Drosophila melanogaster: one gene and its partners. The protein of the gene in region 1 interacts with the protein of each later gene in a pairwise test. Each region holds a gene or a part of one and is shown on either strand. Other genes may lie near its edges. The genes, in order: Vtld, CG3124 and CG8854.

Region 1 (3,611 bases):
AGTAGGACGATTATTTTTCTCTGTTTATCAATAAGCTGGAACTGCTGAGTGTCGCAAAGGACGCAAAAGGGAAATGACGCTGGGTGTACTCCAACAGGCAACCGGATGCCAGGCAAGTGCCCACGCAGGGAAATGTCAAATGTTGGAATGTCCAACTTCAATATCGTTGACCACTCGTCCGTCGGCAGCCGAAACGAGCTTAGGAATTTTTTAATTAGGCTGTTCAGTTCTTTGCCATGGGAATTGGGAGCGAATCACTGATAAGTAGCTTATCAGCTACTGCAGAGGCCTTTTTCCACCAAGGAATGCCATATACATTCGTACATATGTATCCTCCGGAATGGAGGCCCATAATGCGGAGCGCACAGCTTGTTATTATTAATTATGCATGCGTTGATTTTGCCATTATGCAATTTCGTTTGAGGCATTAAATATATATATCGCCGGCGATTTCGTTTCAGACATATGTTTGTTATTATCCCTGTCCACGCCAACACAATCCCTCCCCACAGCATTGTCCTGATTGTTTGCGCTAAAGCGAAAGCTTATTCCATGGGATTGGATTACTCAACTGTTCGGTCGGATGATGGCGTTCATCCCTGTTTGTCTTTTTTTTTTTTTTTAACAGGCTCACGTGTAAGTTTAATTAAAAGAATAAAAGAAATGCGAAAGCCAGTATATAACGGAATGTAGGGCAACTATTTGATTATAGTTAATTTAAAAAAAAGTTGCCACAAACGACTGGGACATCGGTTAACTGTGGAGCACATTAAATTTCCAGCAATAGAACATAAAATTGATTAATATCGAATTGCTTTGAAAAGCCATAAGCTGAGTTTAATTAAAAGCAAAACCAATCCTTAAGACATGATAAGAGACTTAGGAAAACCTTAGGAATTCACAAATTTTCCTGATAATTTCAAACAAATATTCACGAGGAATTCAAAGTGTAGCCACTTAGACGCGGGTAATCTTTAGAGCACCCCAATCTCAATCAACAAAATGCTCAAGCAGCCAGCCATAAATTTGCATTTTCGACACACTTCGCAAACCATATTTGTTTTTGTTTTTTAAGCTGTATATTCTTCAATGTTGCAATTTAAAATTAGAACTACTTGGCTGGGCTAGCTAAATTTGGGCGCCACTGATAAATATTTGCGCACCATTTTGACACAATGCGAAACGCGTTTCCAAGAATGGCATTTGAATACATTTATGTGTGGCTAAGGCGGAAATCGTCTTTCCTAGAATCTAGATTAGCAGATCTTCTTGTTTAATACGTATATAGATTGGTCTATAAACAACCTATTTAAGTTAAAAAATACTTAAGTCGGTATCATGGATGTAAATAGCTGTTGCGCTGAAGTAGACAAAATCTAAAAACCATTTCAATTTCATTGATGAGTTTTTAACTAAGCTAATTGAAAAACTCTGAATGTACTCCTTTAGCATAGTAAGGTGTAATGCTCACATAGAGCTAGAACACCTTAAAATTTGTTGGAATAATCATATAGTTTCAACTATTACAATTACTTTAAATGTAAAATGGAAATACTATATTCAAGGACCTATAAGAACGTAGCAATACCTTTTCAAATTGCGTCAAATGGGCTCTCATTTTCATAATCAGATCCCCGTAGGTCTGAAATCTCACATCATGTTCGTTATTTGTCAGTTGTTGGTCTAGAAATTTTTGTCTTTCCGACTCGAAAGTTTTCACCTTTACCCGTCGAACGCTCCTCCGGCAAAAGACACTCAAAATTCGATGTTTACTTGAAATCCAAAGCCCGTGCTTAGAGCGTAGTGGAGTGGAGAGGAGTTGCGGCAATCCTGAGCTCGATCCCGAATCCGAGGACATAGTGCTGTTGACGGGTTCGATCACTAGATCCCCACATAAACCACCAACTCTATACCCACACGTGCGCCTTGAAGCCTAGGGGTCATTGCACTTGCGAACTATGTGACAGTGGCACTACGGAAACAGCGCCAGGGCCGGGTTTACCACTGCGTCTCCGGAGCACCAGGATCCGGAAACGCAACCTAAGATTAAGACGTCGCTGAACACAGGATCCGAGGACCAACAACCGATCCCCGGGCGATCAAAAACCCGGCGCCATGGCCATTCACGAGCAGATCGACAACCTGAACATCTGGTGGTTTCCGCGCGACTTCTGTCAGTCGCGATTCGGGGAGTTCCAGCGGAGCGGCACCAACTCCTGCACCATCATTTCCCTAATACTGGCCGACAAGGTGGCCAAGGCGGACAGATTCTATCACAGGGTCTCCGATCTGCCGCTGCGGGGATGGGAGCTCTTCGGCAACGCCATTAACGACGGAAACAGCGTGTACCACAATGTGATTACAACTAATACGCCGCACGCCAGGAATCTCAACCTCAACATTCCGGATGCTATCGCCGCCATTCGGTCGCAGCACAAGATGAACTTCCGGCTGGAGGAGTGGTTTTACACGCACATGGAGGCCGATCCCAGCAATCCCATGTACAACCGGAACGTTGCTGTGCAGTTGTCGCGGGTTTTCCAGATAACACTCCAGATGTTCCAGCACGCCAGCGTGCGAAACAATGTACCCACTAACCTCTTCGCCGCCATCATAGCGGACAGTCGAACGGTGATGGTAACCTTCGATTTCCGAGCCTCGATCGTCGCCCTCTTCGACTCCCACCAACACGGCCGGGATGCGGGAGCCGTCTTCGCCCAGTGCACGCTCGAGAACATGGACGACCTGCTCTTCTGGTTCATCAGCATGTTACACAATGTCTACTCCAGCCGGCCCTCGCTCTTCGAAATCTCCTTCCTCAGCTCTCAGCCGGGGGTGGCCAAGAACATTCCGCCGGCCATCCAAAAAAAGATTGCCGCAGACCTGAAGAAGCCGTTTAAGATGAACATGCCTAAGCACTAATCATGTTGCCAGGTTTACTACAAAGTCGCCAACATCCAAGGACGTCGATCTAGGCGCGGGCCAACCTTTCGGAACCCATTTTTGGGGCTATTTTAGGACAAAATCTCAAGTTTCATATAGCAAAATTTGTGTGTTAAGCGTTTAGAAATTTAATTCAAAATTCTCTGTTGACCATCAACTAATAAATAACGAACTCCAATTTGCATTGTATCCTTAAAGACAGATTTTGCAAGATTTAGCTATATGGTAAGTCTAGTCTGTTCAAGGTTGATACAAGATTGATTTCCGACCCTATAAAGTATAAGTGCAGTCTCTCAATGTCCGTCTGTTTGTTGTCCGTATAATCATCGAAATCTTAGGAGCTATAAACAGTTAGCTGGAACTGCTAAGAAGTAGAAACTTCTTGGTCGTTGAGCTAAGTAACTGGTATCAAAGAGTCGGACAAGAGGACAATAATGTTCTCTATCGTTTAGTTAAAAGTTCTTTAAGGCACGCAGTTAATCGTCGGATTCAAAGAATGAAGACAATATACTTTTGCAAGTCACCTAAACAACTTTCCATGTTGTTATGTACATACATGTGAACGTATGAAAAATTTAACTCCTAATTAATGCTGAACTAAATAATGATATAGAAATTATTTAATTGTGAGCACGTATGTATTTACCTTTCTGTTGATATTTGCCTAT
Region 2 (3,758 bases), on another chromosome or scaffold:
AAAAAATGCGAAAATTGTCAAAAATCGAATTTTCAAAAACCTGCAGATTTGTTATATGGGTCATTAGTATGGATCAATAGCTGTGCAAAAAAGTCATTCCTAGAGGTTTCTAACACTTCTTGGCTGATATATGGCGAAAAACCTTCTTTTTTCCGACCAAAAACACGTATTTTAGCTAACGCAACCGATAAAATGATCAAAATCTTGATTGTAGTACCTCGTTCAACTCGTATTCATATTCCCAATCGATTGACATTTCAATTTGAACATTTTAATTTTTTTAGATTTTTTGCCAATTTTGACGATGTAACCCCTTACAAAAAATGCGAAAATTGTAAAAAAAAAAATTTTCTTTATTTGACCAAAATTTGATACAAAATGAAAGTACAGATCAATAGATGTACAAGAATGTTAATTTTTTTGGCGTGGGACTCATTTTGGCCAAGTTATGATAAAAAGGCTATGGTTCATACAAATCATTTCTATTCAAATATCCAAATGCCCAATGAATCAATTAGCTGCAAAGTAAGACTTTTAATTTAATTGAATGCTATTCAACACTTTACTATTCTAAAATGGCATCTTAAAATGCCAGCACTACCCTTCAATGATAAATGCAAACTGCGATGAGTGTGACTGTTCCACGACCATGTCTATGACTATGGCAAATGCCGTTGACTCGGAGCACAATACACAATAATTGCCAAGTGACGGCAGCTTGGGGGCGCATCAATAACGAGTGCTTGTCACCCGGTGAGCCCACCATCTACCATCCGCCCGCCACCACCACCATCAATCCACATCCAGCCAGTGCACCTCGGATCCACTGGAGCACCGCCGGGAGCGAAATCACACCCATTTGTCAGGAAAAAGAAGTCGGGCGGCAAACGACGAAGTCCACGTCCATGGCGTCGGCGGCGGCGGCGGCGGCGGCGGCGGCTAATTGCAGTTCATGCGAAAAACATCGTTAATCACTCATTGACAGTTTGTTATTTGTTAAACAAAGCTAATGACTTAATGGCATAAATGGTGTGGCAACTGCACCGCGGCCCAAAGGATATCGAAAGTCGAGCCCGGTCGGAGCAGCTGAATAAATGACACGACAGCTCAGGGCAGTCGTCCTCTGTTCTCTGTTCTCCGTGTTCCGTAGTTATGTAGATAAACAATAAGCTGACAAGCCGGTGTAAAATTAATTGTCCTGGACAGCTTGGTTGGGCTTGGGGAGACTGGCGGAGGGGCGTGGTTTTATGGATGATCACGATATGCCCATGGGGCGAAGCAACTAGTTAGAAGTGGCAATGGAATCCCTCGTCTCACGGGATATGTGGATTGGCAACTAGAAATAAAGTAGGACTCATGGGCATTTTGTAAACGAGAAGTTAAACAATTACCACAGTACCTACAATATATTTCCAACACACATCCCTACTGAAACGGGTCCACATCCATGTCATCCACATCCACGTCGCTGGATAAGGGTCTCATTTGACCCATCCTATAGGCTTGCCTTGACCTCCGATCGATTTGGTGTGTATCTTCGTCATCATCCACATCCGGCGAAGGAACATGGGTTTGAATAAGGGTTCTTCTGTGCTTAACCGCCACTCGGCGGGCGTCCTCCATATTCCGCATGTGCATGACCACGGTTTCCGGCATATGGACCACCTTCCGCCGGACAGGATGATGCAGGAGCGGCACAGACGGGGCGATGGCGACCGTGTGGGAGGGGCACTGGGTGGCCAGGTTGCACTGATTGCGCCTCATGGGTCTCGAACGGATCTTGTACTTGCAGCAGTTCACGTGAAAAACCTTCGAATTATTAATCTTGGGACGAAGTGTGCTACGTTTATCTCTTTTCGGCAGCTTCGCTTTAATTTTCTGAGGAGGATGGACCTTCGAGTGGACTTTAACTTTCCTTCTAGTCTTGTGGCCTTTGCGTCCCATTTACTCGATGTGATAACAAGTAATTTGGAAATATACAATACGATAAATACTCTGACGTTTTTGATAATATTATTATCCAAAGCCTTTGAGATGATCATGAAAAAAACACGCTAAAATTGTATTCTATTCAATCATAGTAGGCTTTTCCCATCTCTGTCAGATGTCTGGGAAGTTTTCCTCTACACACTTCATTCGTATTTATTTCATCGTAGGATTCAGATCTATTGGTAGAAAGTAAGAAAAAAAAAATTCTCAAAATTTAAGTTATATACAAATTTGGAGTGAAATATTTTATAAACACTTTCGGAGTATCTCGAGCTTTCCACACATCGAAAATGAATTTTTGTTCAGTGCCTTACGAAGCTGACTACGGCATGTACGCCGATTCCAAGGTACACATAGTTGCATTGGTTCTGTAGACTTGGTAATAAGTCTAAGTCTATATTTCAGATGAAGAGCGTTCCTCAGTACCCCCTAAGCATGGGAGTAGGTCAGGGTCAAGGACAGTCCATGGCCATGCAGCCCCTGAATCCACCGCAGATGAATCTGCAGATGCAGATGCCCGTGTGCCAGTCGGGCGCTTCGTCGTACCCAATGCAGGGTATGCCGCTGGGCATGATGCAAGGGGGCAATCAGATGACCCCCATGTCCACGATGTCCACCCAGCTGCCGATTGGAGCGGTGACTCCCCTGAGCAGCATGACCATGATGCCCATGATGGGCAATCCCATGGGCGCCATCGATGCCCCCGGGATCAATGCAGTGCTGCCTGACCTGCAGCCGATGACCTCGATGGGTCAGATGCAGCCGCTGCAACAGTACAATCCCAGTGGATCTACCACCCAAATGCATCAAGGACGTCTGACGGGCGGCTGCAATGCTGTGATGTCTGCGCCCTGTCCCTCGTCGCCCTCGCAAGCTGGCGGCTGGAGCTCCGGTCCCAGCCCCAACCAAATGATGAACAGCTCCAATATGTGGCAATACAGTCAGCCTATGCAGAGTCACCAGCCGCAGTACCACCAGCAGCACCAGCAGCAGCAGCAACAGCAGCAGCAGCACTATCAGCAGCCGAGCCAGGGACACCAACAGGTCAACCGGATGAAGACCTCCTACGACGCTCCCATGTACCGGGATATGCGGAACGGTCTAAAGTAAGTAGATCTCGCCCAGGGGCGTTCGGCATCCTAATCCGATCCATAGCAATCCTTTTTAATCTCTAACCCTTAGCGCACCATCGATACACGATTCATCGAAGTACAGCAAAGGCAATCAATCATTCAATTGTGGTGAGTACTCACTTTTTTTTTTTGCATAAAAGAATGATATACAATGTTCTGCTTTCAGGAAAAGCGGTTAGCAAGGTCCCCCATTGGCGTTGACGAAACCCTTGAGCCCATCATTAGTTGTTTTTGTACTTTTGCATGATTGGTGTCTCTTTATTTATTTGTTCCAAGACTTCCCCTACGCAAGCAAACAGATACTCAAACCCACAAGAAACACAGACTTGGCCACAAACATATTGGTGTGGAATAAATAGTTTATATGTTTATGGCCGAAATGGAATTATTCATTCGTTGTTTTTCATCTGGCGACTTTAAACGCCCTGATTTATGGCCATCAGACATCAAAATTGGCAACATGTTCGCGGCAAGCGGAGTGTGGTGGAGGGTGGGGGGCTCGGCCAAGGAAAATTGGACGAGGGAAAAGCTGAAATGGCGATGAAAAATTTATGCTGACCGCATGATGAACGCATAAAAAATGTTGCCAACTTATGGCCAAAATGCAATCCACAACCCAGTCGCTGTGCGGAGTAT
Region 3 (3,758 bases), on another chromosome or scaffold:
TTTAGGATACATAGTATATCTTTTTTTGATGGCAAGCTCTATGGCAGTACAATTCGATATGAGGCCTACAATATCGATTGAAATCAGATATATGTACTCCTCAATCATTGATGTTACTACTTGTGCAATATTGTTGCCAATATGAAATAGCTTTGCAGTTTTTCCTTGCCATCACTAAGAGCATGTTGCAATGTCGCCGGTGCGAAGTATCTGATAGATAGATACCGACCGAAAGAGCCGAGCAAACACACACACATACGTATTGGAATTGGAGCAGAGATCAACGAGTCTGCCGCCAGTCAAAGGCAAACATCTGGTTGCGGCACCGCTCCCTTACCACCCCCTTACCATTACCGGAAAATGCATCACCACCGCCCCCCGCTGGGTGGCCAGGTGCAGCCGGTTTCCTGTGCGTTGGCAACGTGTGCTGCCCAAGTCCCAAAACGACGTTCGCCATTAAAAGCGGCAAATTGCTCTGGCTCCAGAGCCTCTGAATGGGTCCAAATAGTGCATATGTACCTATATTGGGGTTGGGATTCTACGGCAAGGAATGTAGGCCTGATGAACTGCAGGCTGGCTAAATGAACTCAATGGATGGATGGATGCCCGGTGAAGGCAACAATTTTCGAAGCTCTCGTGACCAGAAATCCAAATAACATTCGAAAGCTGAATGGCATGAGCTTGCAAGACATTTATAGATATATTTCTAAAGATATATATGTATATAAATACTAACATATGATAGGAATTTATATTTTTAAATAATTTAAGAAGCATAACATCTGCGGTCGCTGAGATTTCGCAAATCCTTTAAAATTCCCCAAACAATTATTTGTTAATTGCCTGCTTTTTTATCTGGTGACACATCTGACCACAAAGTGTGGCCCACTTGAGCTGGCTTAATTGAATTGCTTTTGGTTTGGTCTATGGGCCATCAATTGATTGTTTGCACTCGACACTCACCGCAATAGGAAATAATAACTGACCTGACTGAATAAACACCATAAATATCGGCACGACTTTGGGGATACCACACAAAAAACCAACCGCCACCGCACTGAAAGTGAAAGCTTTTTTTAAGGTTTTTTCAAACAATTAATTTTATAAATACCTTTTGGTAGCTAACAAAAAAAACTGCATAAATTATTTGGGCTTTAGCTGCTGGAGATGGGAAAAGTCTCGAATGAGAAATGATGCTCATCACCTGTTTTCTTTTGATGAATTCAAAGGCGGCGCACATTGCCCCACCCGAATGTCGGTTCAAGTTGAAGTTGAAGTTGAAGTGATGCAATTTCTCTCAGCAGCGATTTCAATTTCTTTCCGCAAGTGAAAAAGACTTGAACTTGGCAGCTGCTTTTTTTTTTAAACCACTTACTCTAGCAACGGCTATGGTCACTATGCGGTTAAGTTGAATGAGTTTCGAAAATGGGTGTAATATATGTTGGGTATGAATCAGCTTCTTTTCCTAAATGATGACAGTTCAAATTACAATTTCTACTTTTTAACTGAGTTTTTAGATACATTTCTTTAGAGCAACTTCAATTCGTTGTGTAATGAAGCCCAGTTTTGCTTACATATCTATGGCATTTCCCTGGCGCAGCCGCATTTCAACGACTCTCAAATTTGCATATCAATGTGACTTTGAGTAGCTCTGCGACTGTGACATAACCACCTGCTGTCATTTTAATTTACTGCTAATTAATTTACAGGCCGGCCGAAATTACATCTAGCCAAAGACATAAAGACTGAATGGGATCTCTGATTAATTTTGATGGAAATTGGCAAGCGAACATGTGAGGTGAGCTCAGACCGAGGATCAAACCCGTTCGAACATGCTGGCAGAGAAGCGCCAAAGACTTGTAACTTGGCTCAAACCGTTGGCCAAAACAGTTGAGCGCCGGTCGAAGAAGCGAACACAACGCGGTTGCGCATGCGCGTAGATCATGTGCCGATCGGACGTGTTTGAAATTTACAATTCACAAATTGGCTAAAAGAGCGTTCTATAACCATAAAAGTGCTCTGTGACAAGTGACCGACGGCATAAAACAAATTCAAATTTATAACCAACACCAAAACCAAATAAATAACAAGGTGAATGAAACTGCCCAGAAAACTGTGTCAAAAGCAAAGAAAGTTGCTATTTTTTTAGTGTGGGCAGGCTGCCAAGTATCTTTTTAGGTGTATCTTCAGCTCCGTCTGATGTTCGTTTTCAATCTTTTGCGGGCTTGTCGAGATTGAGTGATCATCTGCGTGGGTCTGTGCCACATAAATTCGAATGCATCTCAGGTGTAATGTAATGATCACCATTTTAGGGCACTACGCCCAGGTATGCGAGAGAACTGTTCTTCTCAGGTGATTCATGATAAAAACTTCTGCTCGTCTCGCATACTTTTTTCAAAGGTGCGGCAGAAGATGTGACTTTTTAAATTCATTTTACCCTGCTCTCGATTGGTTTGATGTAAATCCACAATTGGGCATGATATCACTCGAATAAATATTTATATATTTGAATACTTAGCAAGGTCGATTGGCATTTGGCAAACGTGTTTCCAGTTATTTTGCATTATAATCCGATGTCGAAATATTTACCTTACCTTTGCATAATTTGTGCTGAATGAGACATGGACAGGTTGTTAATTATTACCTTAATTGAAATATTCGGAGAAAACCAAAGTCAATCGAATAATATTATGGAGGTGGGCAAAATTTTGAGTAGTAAAATATAAATAGTGGAATATCTTACCAGTTAATATTTATAAAGAGTGTTTGTGGTTGCTACCTACAAACCTACATTTATCTTAAATAAGTTTATTTTTAGTATACTTAAATTTAATCTTTATTTAAATATCCCATTACGGTCATCCGTCTTAATAGCATTTAATAGCCCGGATTTGCACAAATATTGATAGTTGTCTTTTATTTTAAGCCTAACTCAGGTGGCCAAAACCACTATCAATCACCAAACACGCTAACAAGCCCGACTGATTACACAAAGTAACTCGACGCGAACTTGTCACATTTGATATGCAAATGGCCAGAAGCCAAAGTCAAAGCGGCACTTTACGCTGAAATGAATCTGAATCCGAAATTGAATCTGTATCTGAGGTTGACCGGGGCAATCAGCCAACCGCAGTGAAGGAGTGGAAGTGCCGTCCGAAGATGCCAATTAATTAACAGGGTCTTAGGGGTTTTAAGTGGTTCCATATCCACGAATGTGTTTGCATATTCAACTCTAATTGCGTCTAAACACTGCGCATGCAATTAACTTTTCACGGTAAAGGGCCACGTGGCGCATACGTAATGCGATTTTCACCCACCAAGAACATTTATTATTCTTATCAATTTATTCATCAGTTATCTAGAATAATAACTGGAATATCAAGTATAGAGTGCAGAATTTGTATGCCTACATTGTTTGTTTTGGATTGACTACATTTTGGAGTTCCTTTAAATAATAAATAGCTTAAAAAACAAGCCCTAAACCATTTTCACTCGCGTGCAAATCACTGAAAGTGCATTCAGATGGGCTTCTGTGTGCATATTTTGTTTTGTTTGGATATATGCCATAAAAAGTTTATAGACCCTGAAAGATACACAGATAAACGATTTCATTTGCGTGTCACAGCCAAGTCACGTTGTTTTATTTTTTTTTCGCGGTACAGTTTGTGTATTTTATAAAAAATATATTCCCATCGGAAACCTTTTTTCTTGATCAGGCCATACAAATGTTAATCGATAACCGAAGAGATTAAAACAAA

Evidence for each region.
Region 2: the proteins of Vtld (region 1) and CG3124 interact in a two-hybrid assay, tested with the Drosophila melanogaster proteins (one large-scale study listed by BioGRID).
Region 3: the proteins of Vtld (region 1) and CG8854 interact in a two-hybrid assay, tested with the Drosophila melanogaster proteins (one large-scale study listed by BioGRID).

Annotation. Positions count from the first base shown.
Region 1 is NT_037436.4:19,758,716-19,762,326, forward strand, and holds Vtld (viral tegument-like deubiquitinase), read left to right. Parts: upstream 1-1,693; 5' UTR 1,694-2,115; coding exon 2,116-2,922; 3' UTR 2,923-3,102; downstream 3,103-3,611.
Region 2 is NT_033778.4:23,282,490-23,286,247, reverse strand, and holds CG3124 (uncharacterized protein), read left to right. Parts: upstream 1-2,134; 5' UTR 2,135-2,279; coding exon 2,280-2,336; intron 2,337-2,394; coding exon 2,395-3,095; intron 3,096-3,144; coding exon of another isoform or gene 3,145-3,157; exon of another isoform or gene 3,158-3,171; coding exon 3,172-3,230; intron 3,231-3,288; coding exon 3,289-3,323; 3' UTR 3,324-3,505; downstream 3,506-3,758. Other genes in the region: atlas, read right to left, coding at 1,426-1,944.
Region 3 is NT_033778.4:12,227,441-12,231,198, reverse strand, and holds the start of CG8854 (uncharacterized protein), read left to right. Parts: upstream 1-1,888; 5' UTR 1,889-2,091; intron 2,092-3,758.